2 linked regions of the Drosophila melanogaster genome follow. Changing the gene in region 1 together with any one later gene gives a genetic interaction. Each region holds a gene or a part of one and is shown on either strand. Other genes may lie near its edges.

Region 1 (9,322 bases):
ACAAAAAGGGACAAAGGTGACCCCGACTCCAACTCCGACTACGACTACGACCTCGATTCCGATTCCGATCCCGATCCCGATCCCGACCCAAGCCAAAAACCCAAACCCAAAACCCAGGGGAGAGAATTATTATATGGCTCATAAAATATTTGAACAAGTCTATAAATGCCGCGTAATTCTGCTGCAATTAAAGCCACGGCGACGATCGTAAAGGGGAATTGTTTGGACACTTTTATGTCTCTCTTACATCTCATCCAGCACGGTGCGTATGCGCAATTTCGGTGGGAATATATCTCGTATATACTATACCCCCACACATGAGTGTAATTGATATGGCGCCAGGAGAGGACCACCCAATCCGCAGATAAACTCTCGATGCATTTGTACTTTCAATGGTTTGTATTTGTATATTTGTATATTTGTGTTTGTATTTGATGTCTAAAATGTTAATTCCTAATCAAAGCTAAGTTACATAGAGGTGTAAATCGTACATACATATATCAGTGTGTAAATATAGTCGGGGGAGATATATAGCTTGTGGCCGTCGCGGAGCGTTGTGTTTACTTTAATCATCTACTATCACAGCATCGTAATACAAGGCAAAGTATATCTAGTATACTTAGTATCTAGCGGAATGTGCGGCAGATTGTTGGCGAGTTGCAATAATAAATAATACAATGGGACTTAAAGCTATCAAAAAAAAAAAAAAAAAATAATAATAATAAATTTAGTCGGAGAAAACATTACTATCGTGTTAGAATATCGAGAAAACTGGGTATCTCAAATTCACGTCTGTGGTGGATTGTTCACATTACTTATTCGGTTTTTCATAGCCTTGTGATTGTCGGGGATTCCTCGTGATTTGTCGTGACTGGTGTGGCGTGGCGTGAGTAATAAATATTGGATGTTTAATAAATTAAGGATGTCTTCATGGAATGAGCCTCGTTGTGTGGAATGGAGGTTTCGCCGGTTCTGAGCTCTTGGCTATAGCTACTTTCTACTTTCTACTCTCTGCTCTCTGCTCTCGTCTAGAGTTTCTTCTGGATCGCCTTTGGCACGTGGGTGGTCGCCTTGCACAGACTCTTACGCTGGTTCGCGAGTATCTTGCGGATACTCTTGAGATACTGCACAAACTTCAGTTTGGTGAAGAGGGCGTGCTGCTCCAGGACCATCAGGTCGTCGGGCGGTGGTGGTACATCCTCCCCGCGTGCGGCCAAGGTCGCCTGCTGGTGCAGCTCCACGAGTGGCACCAACGTCGAGTTGAACTGCTGCAGACGCTTCTCCATCAGCTTGCGCGGCAGTATCTTGTAGGTGACCACCGGTTGGGCCTGGCGCCGCTTCTTCTGGCCCCTCGGCTGTGGCGCCCGCTGCCTGTTGGGTGTGTACAGCAGGTTGGTCAGGTTGATGGCCTCCTCCACGCTGCAGAGCACCTCGCGGGCGGACTTCCGCATCCTTCCCAGCTCGTCGGAGAGCACGCTCTTCGCCTGCAGGTTGGCCAGGTCCCAGTGCAACTTGATGTTGCGCATGTACGTGAAGGCGCCCACGTAAATCTGCAGGTCGCGATGGGCGTGGCGAAGGTTCAACTGGAATGGGCAAGGAAAAAGATTGGAAGCGGGTTAGTTAAATTGATTTGTCAAGAAATATGAATACTATGAATGGGAACATGACTAATTGATAACTTTGATCTGCAATGAGAGGTTCTCTGTTGATAAGAATCTATGGATTCATATTTGTACACCCATTTTATATATACTAGTTTTTAGATTAAATTAAGTGCTCTATTTATATCATTAACTGTCCATGAACTTGTAAACTTATATATTCCCAACTTAATCATCATAGTTACCCCAACCCATATTGGAGATCAACTCCATAATCCTTGATTATATCAGCATAGAATTGAAAATAAAACAATTATATGGCAAAGTATGATATTTTTAAGTATTTAACGCCTTAATTACTTGTATCGCCATGAATGAAGGTCGGGGTTATCTTTATTGAATAAACCTTTTTCTGCACTCGCTTGCAATAAAAATCCCCAATTGTAAAATTAAAGTATTAGAAACGGCGAAACCTTGGCGGAAATTGCGATATCCATATCGCATATGGTGTATATAGTCGATCCTATAGTTCGAATTTTTTGGGTTGAGTGAACTGAGCCCACCAGCCCCTTTGCGGACCCCCCCCCCCCCCCCCTCCCATCGCACACACACTCCCCTCATCCCAACGACCAGAAACTTATCTGGCCGGCGGCTGAAAGTGAAAATCAAGCCGAACGCTCGCGCCGCTCTCTCGTAACTGTTTTTTGAGTTCTCGGCTACGCTTCGGCTGGCCGCTCGTGACGTCGACGTTGGCTCTTCGTTTCATTCATGTCGCGCTCGCCGCATGCCGCCGCTCACCCTTTCCCGCTCCCGCTCCCGCTCCCGCTCGCTCTCGCTGGAGTTTCGGGGGAATCCACGGCTCTGTTTCATATGAATCACATATCGCGTATACGCTCCGCGCCCCGTATCCCCCCGATCAACGACCACAAACGGCGTGTGTGTGTCATTTGCAATAAACGAGCGTTGTGAACTACTCAAACATATTATCGTTAAGGTCATTTCTTCTTCCGAACCGATCCGCTGCGGTATCAGCGAATTCGTTGTTTTCCTTTTTTTTTTTGGGTGGGTATGAGCGAATGCATGACGTCAAAAGGCCGTCGATTCTCGGTATCGAAACGATCCATCTAAATATAGAGTTCTTCTATCAGTCCCGTTTGCCACCTCGTCGTCGGATCGGGTTCCGATCTGGGGGTTCCGTTTCACTCTGTTCCGGGGATGTCAACAATTAGTTGGCACAATTGGCATTGACGTAGCCGATATTGGCCAAATATTGACACACATCCCGAGCGGCAAGTTCCCGAGCTTGGTGCAGAGTGAGAAAAGGTGGATCGACTGGTCGAATCGAGTAGTGTGTGATCAAAGGTATCTACTGAAAAACTCAACACGAAAGAGTACTTATAAGCAGCGAAGGCAGTCAATTGTTACCCTCATTTTCTCACAGTGTGATCCGCGAGGCCCAGGTACTTTTCCCAGACTATGACGACAATTGAGAAATTTCAGCGAAAGCCAAACTTTGCTCATCGCCCTGAATAGACGATTGAGTGGAATCGCTGGCTAAGTGAATGAATGGATGAAATGGAATGGCAACTATGATGGGACTGGCTAAGTTTAGCAGAACGGGTAATTAAAAAAAAAAATAAAAACCAAATTCCCAGGGGGTGGCGACCTTTGAGACTCCACTTGCACTCTGAACGCGACTTTTGGCTGACTCGAAGTGAGTCGGCGGTTTTCGCGGATCTTGACCACACTTGAGATTTTTCGCCGCACCTGCGATCTCATAAAAGTATCTGTTTATGGCCACGCCAAGTGAACTACACTCATCTGGTTATCTGCAGATATTACTGTCCTATACGAAACTTTCCCGGACACCAAGGAATTAGCACGTTGGGGCAACCAAGCCGATCTCGACCGATTCACGAAGCGACATCCACCTCATTGAAATGTGGACTAGACCCTTTCTAGTGCACGGCGTTTGTCATACTTGGTCACGTATCGACTGGTACTCCGTGGCAATCATTTCGCAAGTACCGCCATCCACATTCCGGAGCCCACATTCTATATTACTTCCATTACTTCCATTATTCACTGGCCTATCGGTCACTCCGGGTTTTTCCTCAACTGGTCTTGCTCATTTCACCGTGTCAGTGCGAAAATATTTCCGAATTCCCAGACCCCGACAATTTGGCATTACTAAACGGTTCCACTCTATTAACATCAAACTGTCCGCAACTCGAGGGTCTCGAAATTGAAAAGCTCCATAATTTTCCTCTCGCCATAATTCAGATGTCCGTGGCGAATCCAATTCGAAATTTGATTAGCTTCTGTTTGTTGTTGTTTACTTGTCAAAAGTGTAAATAAAATGTGCCGCTTGATTTTATTTTGTTTATTCAACAAATTATCCACTTCAGATACGAATTGAGATTCGGATTGAACTTCGTTTTCAGATTCAGATACAGCTTCAGCTTCAGCTTCAGCCTCAATTCGGATCGATCCAATCTACGGATTGGCCATAAAACGTGATCGCTGGATCAAGGCCGGTTTGGGGGGGATCGCGATGGATCTATATAAACAATAATCGAAAAAAAAAGCGCGCGCGCCGTCAATTTGCTCTTAATCTTAATGTGGTTATGGCATCGATTGCTAATGTTTTCCCTCGTGCTGTTGTTGTTTGCTACCAATGCAAATCGACGGTTAATGGGGCGTCCCGAAATGCCGGCTAATGCTGACAAAACGAACGAGGTGCGATCGAAAAGTTGGCGGCACTTAAGTGCTCAATGCAAGTTGCTGTTGGAAGTGTTGTCAAAACAACTCCATCATCAAGCTAGCACATATGAACTATATACATATCTCAATCTTTATTTCCTTAGTTTCCTTCATACCCCTCTATATAGATTGATAAATTCCCTTAATCACGCAAACAAACTATGGCAACAACTCTCGCGGCTGGCGGCACGATTCCCTCGGATTCGGACTCATATGACCGCTCCACTCGCCATTAGCTTGTGACGGCCTGTTTGCACCTACGCAGGTGAACGGGGCGAACGCCTCACGTGACCCTCTTTTTTATCACCTCAAGCTCCCTGGCAACAGAAGAACCCCCCGCGAGTGTTTGATGTTTGTAAATGATCCAGTAGTTCTTCACATGACGATATATGCATACATATATTATGCTTATGGCATATGGACGACACTCACCTGTTTGCTAGTGAGATTCAGACGGGGCAGGAATCTGTAGTTTCCCTTATAGAATCGCCACTTGTTCTTCTCGACAATGTCCAGAGTCTTGGTGCTCACTGTGGCCAGCTTGTCCGCATTGGTGGTGATCCTGGCCTTGTCCTCGGCCTGGATGCCCCGCAGCTCGCGGCCCGTTTGGTTCTGTAGATTCTGCAGGATCTGAAATAGATACAAATACATATATACATATAGATAATAGTGTGTGAATTAGTTGTGCCAATTTATTTATCAGCTAAGAGCCAACTTTCGCTTGAAACTTACCCTTTGGCGTTTCTTGCAGCGTTTCGCCTTGCTGTGCGTTTCGTTCAGACCCGTGGGCTTCAGATTGCAGGTGTTCTCCCAGTCCAGATGCGTACTGCTGGCATTCAATTTCTGCTGGAAGGTCAGCCGGAAGTTGGCCGCTCTGGAACGCTTCTGTAGGTGCTTCAGGGGATTGGTGGGATTGATGGGACTGGAGGGGCTGTCAGTGGGCGGGGTGGCCAGGTGACTGGGCGCCGCTGAGACGCCACAACCGCCGCCGGAGAGGGCAAACTGGGACATGGCCAAGGCGAGTAAGATCAGTGACCAGTTCCTGTTCAGGCGTCGTCGTCGATCCACGAACGGCGGTTGCGGCTGCGGTTCCACTGGATTCCTGGTTCTGGCCGTTTTGTTACCGCTCCGGCTACCGCTTCCGCTGCTCCTGCTGACGTCGAGCGGGCGGTCAGCTGTCGTCTGTGGATGGAAAAAGTTCCGAAATAAGCTAAACAAAATTTATACAAACACGCAAAGCCCTCAAGATAACACAGTTTCATTTTTTTCCCACCCATAATGGCTCGAGTTTCACTACGACTTCTTGACGTCACATCTTCGTCAGACGTCGTCGGTGTTTAGCATGAGAAAAGTCTAGCAACAGGTTATACTATTATTAGTTACCAAAAAAAAAAAAAAAAAAAAAAAATCAAATACGTATGTTCGATTTTCAGTTATTTACATACTCAAACTTTGGCCGAAAAGAGGGTTCGGTTGGCCAAATGTATTCCCCCTGCCGAGGGACCAATTACCATAAGTCAAGACTAACGGACGCTGCGCGGACAACTGAACTGAACCGACTGGTTATATATTATCTTGGCCAACTTTTGCCAAATATAAACCAAAATTCGCGCACGTGATGGTACGGATGTGTGATTGTGGTGCGATTGTTTTGTGTTATTTTGTGTGTGTTAGTGCCTGAGTGGGCGAATTATGATGATTGTTGGCTGCTTGGGGATTCCCGCTGGACGCACTTATGCGCAAACCCATACGCACACATATAAATATAATCGCAATTGTTTGGGGGGCCCGAAGCATGCGCGATTTGTTATTATTATCGTTTGCGCTTTAGCTACAGCTACGGCCATTGCTAGTGCCGTCTTTATCTGGCTGAAATAATTATTTCAAATTAAAAATAAATTTCTTTATTTAGCCAAATTATCATGAATCATCGTGTGTCGGGTGGAGGTCGACTTGCAAAGGTAGTGGTGATAGTGGTGCCACCGCACTGGCGGTGGCGGTGCTATCTCATATTGTCTGGTGGGGTAGGCTCCAATCGCTCCACACGCCTCCTACACATCGAGCAGCATGGTCAACGAAACATTGGTCTTGCAAACTTTTGTGAAATTCACTCTCTCTTGCCGTGCGTTTTCGCTCTCCGGCTCTTTATCGCGGTCCCTTTGCCCGGACCTTGTCCTCCTGTCTGTGCCGAATCGCTAACGCTTGTAGTGACAACCGCTGACGCATCCAATCTTCAATTCCTGCCAAACACCAGCAACACCAGCACCACCAGCACCACCAGCACCACCAGCACCACCAGCACCACCAGCACCACTGGCACCACCACCCCCGCGGCACGAAACGTGTAAATTAATTTCACATGTTTCGCTCTTTTTTTGGCCATTTTTCGTCAAAAGGGTTTTTTTTTACAGTTGCAATAACTATTAAGTTAGTTGCATAAGTTGTGTGGTTGAATGGAACAATAAGTTCCCAATAAGTTAGAATAGTAATAGCAAATAAATGCAAGTCGCCCCTGTACGATTAGTCATACTCATCCGAAAATAACGTCCATAGGTTTTCAAATAACTTTGGGTTTTTCATAATTGTAATAACTTTAAAATGCTATGATTCACATGTGGAAAAATGAACTTAACATATTGTGCATCATGAATTTATAACTTGTTTTCAATGCCTATCACCAAACAGTGTCAGTGATTCACGAATGAGTTTCCCCCATGAGAGGCTGGAGATGATGGTCCCTTTCGGTTGTGAGCCCTATCCCCATCTCCAATCCCTAAACCCATCACACCTCCTCCTTGGGGCCAATTTCATCATGTGTGGGGTACGTGACACCTCACCTGACCATTGCAGCTCTTGGCAAGAACTCTGCGGGTTCAGAAGTATCGAGCGAAAGACACCTGTACCTATCAACAAACCGAGCACGCACAGGTGAATTCTCTTATCGGCAGCAGAAAAGGCAAATATAAAATCCCCGAAAAAATACGCGCCTGCGGTAGTTACTTGTACTTACCATTTACATAAAAATCGTTGGCTGGGAATTCCGCACAAAAATTCGTACTTGATTGACACGCACTTTGCTTTTGTAACGCTGTTAGTCTTTTCTTTGTGTGTATTTGCCGGAAAGAAGCTTCCAGAATGCAACGGGGAAAAAAACGAAAAAAAAAACTAACCAATAATAAAAGCGATCGCGATTTGGCGAATTTGGCGAATCAGGCGAATCAGGCGACTTTGTCGAATTTGTTGAATTTGTTGAATTTGGCTGCGTATCTTTGTATCTTTATATCGCGGCTGGACGAACTATCGCGTTAAGTGTCGACGCGCTGCCTTCGACTGTCTGCTATGATTTGATTCCGATTCGATCGAAGTCGAAGTCAACAGCGCTGTCGATTTCTTGCCGCTGGAGAGCGTGGAGTGGAGTGTTGTGGAGTGGATTGGAGTGGCTTTCTCGCCGTCTTTGCGTTGTTTTTTTGTACAATTTTTGCAGTAGCGTTTCTTCACTTTTTTTTCGCCTTTTCGCGTGCAGTGGTTATGTGTGTATATATATTTAGTTTTTTGTTTTTGTGGCCGGCGGAGACTGACTGAACTCCTCAGTTACTATGAGCATACTAATGAGGAGGCGGACGCCCAGTCCGCCGGTCATGTTCGCTCCGCTCGAATCGCCAAAGAAGCGGAAGAGAGACAGGGAGAGGCTCTCTCGGCTGTCATGAGTGTGCAATCGCAAGAAAAGCGCTCAAAACATTCGCCGAGTGCCAAAAACAACGCGAGAAAGCCATAAAAAAGCACAGCTGAGCGATAAAAAAAAACAAAAACGACTCATAGCGGCTGGGTGTGGACAATGGGTTACCCTGTACCCAGGGTACTAGCAACTAGGAGCAATAAGATACGCTGAAGAAAGCATGGAAAAAAGCAGAAGAAAAGTATAACTTTAACTAACTTTAGTTAACTTTAATAATACTAAATATGAGAGATAACATCTAAACTAGGCAACAACAAGTACAATCATCCAATAGCTATTCGATTGAGACCAATATTTGGTTAGTGAACTAGTAACAAATGTCATAAATATTCTATATTACGGCCATTCCGAACATAATAGATTTATTACCAATATTACCCAGTCGTAATGGGCGTGAAAAATACAAACGTTTAGTGAATGATTAGGCCAGCTAGATTTCAACACGATGAGAAATACTCACAGCTCTCCAGCGCTCCCCTTTGGGGGATGACACATAATCGGCGCACTGGAGTGGAGTGATTGATCGATTCGTCGACTGGGCCGATCTCCACCAGATAAGGTCGCTGGGAGAGCTATTCACTGTCTCTCCCGCTCGCAGATAAACAAAACATGTGTAATTTGCCTATTTGCCGGTCTCTGGGGAACGAAATGAGCGGCTACTTGGCTCTTATCGAATGACTTTCACTCGGCACACACTTCCGATTCACCGTTTCTCCGGATCTCCCGTTCTCCGATTTCGATTCCGAGACGATCGTTTCCGATCCGAAGCGAAACGATCCATTCCGTTCCGTTTTGTTCCGTTCCGAAGTAACCCCCGCAAATAGTCGGCAATTTATGGGGGTTGGCATGAATTTCAGTTATTTCCGTTCAATTTCACAAGAATATTACTCATACGCTCCGTCGGCCGCCGACAGCCGTCAATGACGACACGATTTGTTCAACCGCGAGCCGGGCTCTCACGCTCGCAGACACGGCGATTCATTCATGATTGCCGACTACGCTCCACCGGTCGACAGAATGCGGATGCCGAGAGGGGGTAGGCGCAACTGCGGGGTGGCGGTCTAAATTTCACCGCGCGCCAAAACCATGATCAATCGAAAAGTAATTGAGCACTCATCGTTACTCATGGCCAAAGTGGCGACGTCTCCGTTTTGTCGTTTACCGTTTACGGTTCACGCTTTGCCGCGTACCATGTACCGTGTACCGCTCACTGCCACTGCCA
Region 2 (8,593 bases), on another chromosome or scaffold:
GTACCGTCTGAAGTTTCATTTGACTGTTTCATGCCGCTGCACGCGTTACGGCTTTCAATAGCGTCTAACGTAACAAGTCGATCATTGAGGAACTGTTGCAGATCTTTGTATGAAGGAACGTCAATCTTGCTGCCCAGATGATGCTCCCAAGCTGTGTGAGTGTCTTTGGGTAGTTTGGTTGTTAGATAATGAGTCAACCAAAAATCTCCTCCCTGTAGTGGCGCCTTGACGGTATTGCAAGCGGCAATGCAGACGTTGACTGTACTAACCATAGACCGTATGTCAGCAGATTTTTCTTTCGAAAGATTCGGTAAGTTGTAGAGCATGTTCATGTGGCTGGCGAACACAATTCGTGGGTTGTTATATCGTTGTAGAAGTGTGGTCCAAGCGACTTCATAGTTTGCTTCAGTTAAAGCGATTTGGCGAATGTCGTTGTCCAGGCCTACTGGTAATGCTTCCTTTAAAAAATGGAACCTTTGAATCTTATCCAGACGCTCATTATTGTGAATTAAGCGTAAAAATGCATCATGAAAACTTGGCCAGTCCGCGCAGTTGCCAGAGAATTTCGGAACTGGTAATTTTGGCAGTGGTATCCGTACTTCCTCTACATGTGTTGTTATTGTAGAGTTAGCTGATTCGTTGTGCGTCACTGTGCCTGGATAAATTCGTTTCTTTTCTTCGGCCACGAAACAGTAAACTTCCATGCCCAGGTCTTCGAATTGGCTGATTGTATTTTGTTGCTTATACACACTTTCTTCGTAGTCTGCCATGCATATAAGTGTGTGATGCGCCTGATGAAATTCTTTGTTAAACTCGTCGATTTGATTCAAACGTTTTTCGAAATATATTTCCGTTTTCCGCGCACTCGAGTCTTTTTTCACATTACTGAACAAGCGCTTCAAAGACTCAATGCGGTCAGTTTGAACTCGCACCAGTTGATCAAATTTCGACATTGTTTATACTGACGTTGCTCCACTGTATGTAATATGCACAAATGCTCGTATGTTATCGGTGTTCTTCTTTGACGTCTTGTTTTTTTGAGTTGGCAGAGATTCCGGCAAATCTAACGGAATCGAAGGGCAACGGGACTTAGCTCTGTCGTGATGAGAGCGAGCGCGAATGTTTGCGTATACTGCTCTGTCGTGATGAGAGCGAGCGCGATAGAAAACGTAGGCACGGTGATTTATCTGGATGAAGCCGACCACGAAGATAAAATTGCCAAACAGCTTTTAGCAATTATTAATTATGATTCTTATGAGCAAGGTTCCCCTCATGGGCCACCAATGAATAGTTGTGATGCCTCACTGCTTTGACATCATTGTAATGGGGTTCGCAAATAAGAATCATATATACACTATTTAACTTCATTTATTTTTTCATATACAAAAATCACGTCTGATCGCTATGACCGCAAAATTACAAGAGCGAAAGAAAGAATACAGTTCAGTTCAATTAGCATCGATATATAAAATGTTAATCCGCTGTTAAGACAGCTGAAGCACCGGGTGACTCCGCTCATAATCCGTACACCTCGTAAAAACAAATTTGAAATGGTGAGTAATTCATATGTCCGTGGGTCTTAAATGGCTTTTTGTCACCTTACGGGATTTAATTTCAATATAGCTTTAGCACATTCTCAGAAAATAATAAATCAAAAGAAAACTAAAATCTGATTATCTGCCCCTATTCTAATTTAACTCGACTAGCTTAGAAAACAAAGAAAAAGACTTTGTATTTAGTCAGCTGGTTGCCATCTTTATTTGTTTAATAGTAGTGTAGCTATGTCTGTTGTGTATTTTTTTGTTGCATGCTCTGCTTGTGTTTTCATAGTTTTTAGTTTAATAATTTAGTTATTATTTTTCGTGGCCTTGCGTATTTGTTTATATTTGTAATACATTTAAATACATTCCACAGCGGTTTTAGGGTTTGTTCTCGCGACATGGCTAGCTTATGAAATTTGATAATGTCCTAGAAAAAATGATCCTTACATTGGCGTCCAGATGTTCGTTTATCGAAATCTAATGTGTCTGGGTTTTCGTATTCGAATCTTGTCTAGCCGCAGCTAGTCGGAGCTGCGAATTCCATTCGTGCTCGTTTCAGAGTTGTGCTAAGCGAATGCTTTGGTTTTTGTCAAGCTCGCTAGCAGCTTTTTTCAAAAGTTTGTGTCGAGGTGTCGCAGTGGATCGAGGTTTCAATTGGGACATGAGTCGAAACAATTCCTAGCAAATTTACCAAAGAAACTAAAGGACTAATAACATTGTTTTTAGCAGGCATGGAAACAAACGAATCGTTTTGAACCATGTTTGGTACTTTCCGCGTACGATTTCGAGCTAAATTATTGTTATACAGTATAATTCGCTTAGCTGCCTCGAGTACTTTGCACAATGCCTCGATGCAGGTAACTTAAAAATGCAGCTAACTTAATTTTTTTTTTTCTATTTTCTATTTTCTATTCACACAAAAAAATGGAAAAATAATGCAGATATCTTGCCGATGCAGCTAACTATCGATGCAGCTAAGCGAATTATACTGTACTTATAGTTTCTCTAAGACATGTCGCTAAGTGTTCCTGCGATTTTGAATGTTCATCGTGCTCGCGAGAGGCGACCCACCTTTGTCTGCCGCGTGTCCCACGTCATCGAAATCTTTAGCCTGGAAGCCTGGTTCAACATCGTTTATGATACATACATACATAAATATTATTTCAAATACATACATACATATACACATATATATAGGTATATATATAAAAATAACAAATAATAGTATTAATAAAATCGTAATGTGTAATTTCCCAATATAATAAAAACAATACGCGCCGGCATGCCCTGAATACTAAGCTGATACTTTCAATTGCTCGTCGTGCCCGAGTGTTCTACGTCGACGTCCCCGTCCGCGTTCTGCTGCTCCTGCGGTACATACATCACGGCAGTGCCCTGCTTGTCTGCATCCGAGGATATCGACCAGTTGCGCTCCAGCTGCTCCAAGGCCGCCATGGTCGCCGTGGTCGTCACCCCCGCACCGGAGCTCTCTGCCCCGGCACCGTCGCTCATAACGCCCGCTTTAAGCGTTTCCTCCAGCAGCACCTGGATCTTGTCCTGGTCGTCGAGGTGGACGAAACCGAGGCGCACCAGTTCGCTGGTGAGATCCGCCGCCGTATCGTTCTCGTTCACCTGGCATGTCAGTTGGCGGTTCATCTTGTCGTCCATGCGCAGCAGTATTGTCATGGTTATGTCATTGCTATCCTCTTTGATTTTAACGCTGCACATCATGTTAACGATGCGCCGCGACTCCGTGTCCACAGGCTCCGGCGTGGCCGATTTTACGGAGTCAGCCCGTTCCGGGGAGGCGGCCCGGGAACGGAAGTTGGGCGGCTTCTTGCCGCTGTACGTAATTAGCGGATACACACCATACTTCACGTCCTCGACGAACTTTTCCAGCTTATCGGCGCCTGAAACGTCTGCGAGTCGGTACTGCCGCTCCTGGCCGCCGGCCAGCCGCAGCTGGGCCATAACCACGTCCGGCTGGTAGTATCGCTGCATGAGGCCGTCGAAGGCGGTTTCCGAGAACATAGTGCGGTTGGCGGGCGAGAAGACCAGGCAATGGGCAGTCAGCAGTTTGAGGGAGTGCACCTGTAGTAATAGCAGCAAAAAATTGATTATTAACTACTGAGTTTTTCAGTTAATTACCTTTATAAAAGTGTTATAAGAATACCTTGCAATGTCATTTGAACCATGTACAAATTTATATTTTAAAGTCAACAAGAGCGAACGCTACACTGTTTTTCTCGAATATCAGACTCAAGTTGAAGTGCAAACGAGAAGTTTCCACACTTTAAAATGGCATACCAATGGATATTGACAAGACAAATAAGACCAAAGTATCGGCGTGGCAGTTCTATGGGGTTTCCGTTGGAGTGGACGATTCTAATGAAGAATCGCTAACAATATAGGGCTGAAAACGATTCCTTCTACCCGTTAATTTCCTCTTAACGAATATAGTAACAGGTATGAAAATAAAACAACAGACCCTCAGTAATCAAAATAAAATGTATAGTTACATATTAACCACAACTTGAACTTAAGATATAAGTGACTGTGAGCAATAAATAATATACTACAGTCAAAATGGATTGTAGAATTATCAACTGATTACTAGTTCTCCTTCCATTTATATACATATATATATAATATACACATGAATATAATATATTAAATTCTAAGATAATTTACGATATGATTCGGATAAAACCAAATTTAGAACTTAAATATTTAACGGTGCATTTAAATCATATAATTATTCAAATCTTCAGATTTCAATTATTTACTTAAAATAAAATTTAATAATATCAGGTGTCTTATTAAACTAAATCTCTCACTCGATGGATCCGAGAATTAGAATGCAAGGTCTAGTTGACAAGGCAATTGTTATGCGGGTCTTGAATTTATAGCATTTAGAACAAGATAATTGACTTGAAAACTCACCTCGAAAAGCAATGGGTGAAAGAGCAGATCATTGGCGCTGGGTCGGTCCTGCGGCTGCGGGTTGAGACACTTTCGTATCAGGTCGCGCTGCAGATCGTTTTCCAGGCTAAAGATTGTGCGCTGGATGGTCTCCTCGTTGATGGCAGTTGACTCGCTGTTACTGGGCTGGATTTCCAGGGCGGCCATCTCCAGGGCACACATCCCGAAGGCGTAGATGTCGAGGGCGGCGGTCAACTGGTCGGCGGCGCCGTACTCGGGCGCCTGGAAGTAGTGGGCGCCTCGTTCGCGTTCACGCTCCCGCTCTCGGCCGCGCCGGACGCTGTAGTGGACCGCGTCCGGGACCACCGAGCCGATCTTGACCAGGCCGTTGTGCTGGATGAAGATGCTATCACAGGTTAAATTGCCGTGGATGATGGGCGGCGAGCAGGAATGCAAATAGCTGAGTGCGGACAAAATCTGAGTGCACCACCGGCGCCACGACTCCAGCGGTAGCCGCTTGGCGTTGCGCTTGGTGCGCTTGAGGAACTGTTTCAGCGATCCGCTCGACATGTACTCGGTGATAAAGACCACCCTGGGTCGCTCGGCCTGCTGCGTGTCCGTCCAGTAGCGGTGGAACTTGACAATGTTTTGGTGGTCCAGCTGCAGCAGATTGTCGAACACCTGCCGCATCTTCTCCTCCTGCGACTTCAGCTCCTGTAGGCTGGCATATTGCACCTCATTCCACACGACCTCTACGCCCTCCTCGGTGTCCATGGCCAGATGGACGCAGTCAATACCGGGTACGTCACGCTGATCCACCTCCTCGCGTCGCTTCAGCCAGCGTCCACATGGCGACTCCTCCAAAATCTCGCTCTCATCCTCCGAATCGTCCCCGGACTCGCGTGGCGACGAGTCCAGATTGACGCCCTCGCTGCCAGCTACGACGCCGACGCCGACCGCAGCGCTGCTGCCCGCATCAGCTGTTGAGGCACTAACTATGTGCGGCGGGGGCTGCTGCGTCGACTGCGACGGCGGGGTCGCTGCTGGGCAGGATGCACTTACGGGGCCGGCCGCCAAGGAAGGGTGGTGCTGGATGGGTTCATCCGCTACCGTGCTACCGCTGATGCCGGCATTCGCTTGGCTATTTGACATTAGGGTGCGGTCACCGACGCGGCTGCGGCTGTTGAGCAGTGCTGTTCCAGTTCCAGAAGGCCTCGTCGTCTTCGGTTTCCAGTGTTTATTTTCTTTGTTGGACTGCCTACGTTTGCGCTAGCTTTTCGTGGTATCCACTACGGGGTCCGGGCAACGAGCTACATCCGCCGCTGCTCCTCTGCCGCTGCCTCTGCCCCACTCACTGGCGCACACATACACACGCACGCGCCCACACAGCTCATCCACTGCACCCCTCGCCCAGTAAACACTCCGCTGCGACGGCTGGCGGTTGCTGGGACGTTTTTCGGCACCTTCGACGGCGTCTTCTGTTCCAATCCTCGACTGCGTCGCGAACTGCGATCCGTTTGTTGCACTTTCTGGCCTGACACGCTGCCGATTCGTTTATTTAGGCGTTTTTTTCACGCTAAAACACCCAAGAAATGTGAGCAAATCGATGCCTCTGGCTTATCGATAGTCACCCCCGCATATCGCTCGGCCAGCGCAACTGCGGCATGCTCATCGATAATAACGCGTTAAGCTGAGATATGCCAAAAATGGCTTAATTTATGTGATTTATTAATTTTTTATACGGTAACGAGCAAGGAAAATTAGTTTGCAGGCGGTTCATTTGATTATAAGCCAAGTTTTTAGTAAAATATTCTTTTTCTTTTGAACACATTAAGAGCTGGCAAAAAATAGCTAGATGGTCCGGAAATATGCAGAATTACCAACATCATAGAACCGTTTTCGATAGTTTCTCAATGGTACCGATAACACCTTGCCATCCGTGCCGGCAGCTCTTAAAAATATCCGAAGTATCGCAGATTTAGGCAAAATCTGCATCAATTAACCAAACATGGATAGCATAATTGGACGCAGCCAGTTTGTCTCGGAGACGGCCAATCTGTTCACAGACGAGAAGACAGCTACGGCAAGAGCTAAGGTAGAACACAAATCTTAATCAGACAAGACAGTCCGGACTGCTGTATTGTACCATATATTTTCCCATTCAGGTGGTCGATTGGTGCAATGAGCTGGTCATCGCATCGCCTTCGACAAAGTGCGAACTGCTGGCTAAGGTGCAGGAGACTGTGCTTGGATCGTGCGCGGAGCTGGCCGAAGAATTCCTGGAGTCCGTGCTGTCTTTGGCCCACGACTCAAACATGGAGGTTCGCAAGCAGGTAGTCGCCTTCGTAGAGCAAGTTTGGTAAGGATTTCCATCAAAGGATCTAACTTCTTGCTGAAACGATTTATATTTTCCATCCCAGTAAAGTGAAGGTGGAGTTACTGCCCCATGTCATTAACGTCGTGTCTATGCTGCTTAGGGATAACTCGGCTCAGGTAATCAAAAGAGTGATCCAAGCCTGCGGTAGCATCTACAAGAATGGATTGCAGTACTTGTGCAGCCTCATGGAGCCCGGCGACAGTGCGGAGCAGGCGTGGAACATCCTCAGCTTAATCAAGGCGCAAATACTGGACATGATCGACAATGAAAACGACGGCATACGTACAAATGCCATTAAGTTCTTGGAGGGCGTCGTGGTTCTGCAGAGCTTTGCTGACGAGGACAGTCTGAAACGAGATGGAGACTTCTCGCTGGCAGATGTCCCCGATCACTGCACACTATTCCGCCGTGAAAAGTTGCAAGAGGAGGGCAACAATATTTTAGATATCTTGCTTCAGTTCCACGGAACAACGCATATTTCCTCAGTGAACTTGATTGCCTGCACAAGCAGCTTGTGTACAATTGCCAAAATGCGACCCATTTTCATGGGCGCCGTGGTGGAAGCCTTTAAGCAGCTGAATGCCAACCTGCCGCCCACCCTCACTGACTCGCAAGTAAGCTCCGTGCGTAAGAGCCTTAAGATGCAGTTGCAGACATTGCTGAAGAACCGCGGTGCCTTTGAGTTTGCAAGCACTATCCGAGGAATGTTAGTTGATCTGGGGTCCTCCACAAATGAGATCCAGAAGCTTATTCCCAAAATGGACAAACAGGAAATGGCTCGTAGACAAAAACGCATCCTCGAAAATGCTGCGCAAAGTCTTGCAAAGCGTGCGCGCTTGGCCTGTGAGCAGCAGGATCAGCAGCAGCGAGAAATGGAGCTAGACACTGAGGAATTGGAACGACAGAAACAGAAGTCTACTCGAGTTAACGAAAAGTTTCTGGCAGAGCATTTCCGTAATCCTGAAACTGTTGTGACCCTGGTGCTGGAGTTCCTGCCCAGTCTGCCCACTGAGGTGCCACAAAAGTTCCTTCAGGAATATACACCCATTCGCGAAATGTCTATTCAGCAGCAGGTAACCAATATCTCCAGATTTTTTGGCGAACAACTATCTGAAAAGCGCCTAGGCCCAGGTGCCGCAACCTTCAGTCGAGAGCCGCCAATGCGGGTTAAGAAAGTGCAAGCGATTGAATCAACACTAACTGCAATGGAAGTGGACGAGGATGCTGTTCAAAAACTGAGTGAGGAAGAGTTTCAGCGTAAGGAGGAAGCAACCAAGAAGCTGCGCGAGACCATGGAGCGCGCCAAGGGTGAGCAGACTGTTATTGAAAAGATGAAGGAGCGCGCCAAGACGCTGAAGCTGCAGGAGATCACCAAGCCTCTGCCACGCAACTTAAAAGAGAAGTTCCTAACTGATGCAGTGCGTCGCATCCTCAACTCGGAGCGGCAATGCATTAAGGGAGGAGTGTCATCAAAGCGCCGTAAGCTGGTCACCGTGATTGCTGCCACCTTTCCCGATAACGTACGTTACGGCATCATGGAGTTCATCCTGGAGGATATAAAACAGCGTATCGATTTGGCATTTTCCTGGCTCTTTGAGGAGTACTCTCTGCTGCAAGGATTTACAAGGCACACTTATGTTAAGACAGAGAACAGACCCGATCACGCCTACAACGAGTTGCTGAATAAGCTTATCTTCGGCATTGGAGAGCGTTGCGATCACAAGGATAAGATTATTTTGATTCGTCGAGTATA

What was found. Genes that interact genetically often act in the same process or in processes that back each other up.
Region 2: of upd3 (region 1) and Madm, changing one suppresses a phenotype caused by changing the other (phenotypic suppression), as found in Drosophila melanogaster (one study listed by BioGRID).

Annotation. Positions count from the first base shown.
Region 1 is NC_004354.4:18,275,658-18,284,979, reverse strand, and holds upd3 (unpaired 3), read right to left. Parts: upstream 7,748-9,322; 5' UTR 7,378-7,747; coding exon 7,375-7,377; intron 5,547-7,374; coding exon 5,097-5,546; intron 4,995-5,096; coding exon 4,797-4,994; intron 1,584-4,796; coding exon 1,029-1,583; 3' UTR 384-1,028; downstream 1-383.
Region 2 is NT_033777.3:5,740,007-5,748,599, reverse strand, and holds Madm (MLF1-adaptor molecule), read right to left. Parts: upstream 6,091-8,593; 5' UTR 5,616-6,090; coding exon 4,485-5,615; intron 3,633-4,484; coding exon 2,850-3,632; 3' UTR 1,462-2,849; downstream 1-1,461. Other genes in the region: Sym (symplekin), read left to right, coding at 6,472-6,558, 6,629-6,822, 6,884-8,593. UniProt on the Drosophila melanogaster protein: May play a role in subcellular trafficking between the endoplasmic reticulum and Golgi apparatus.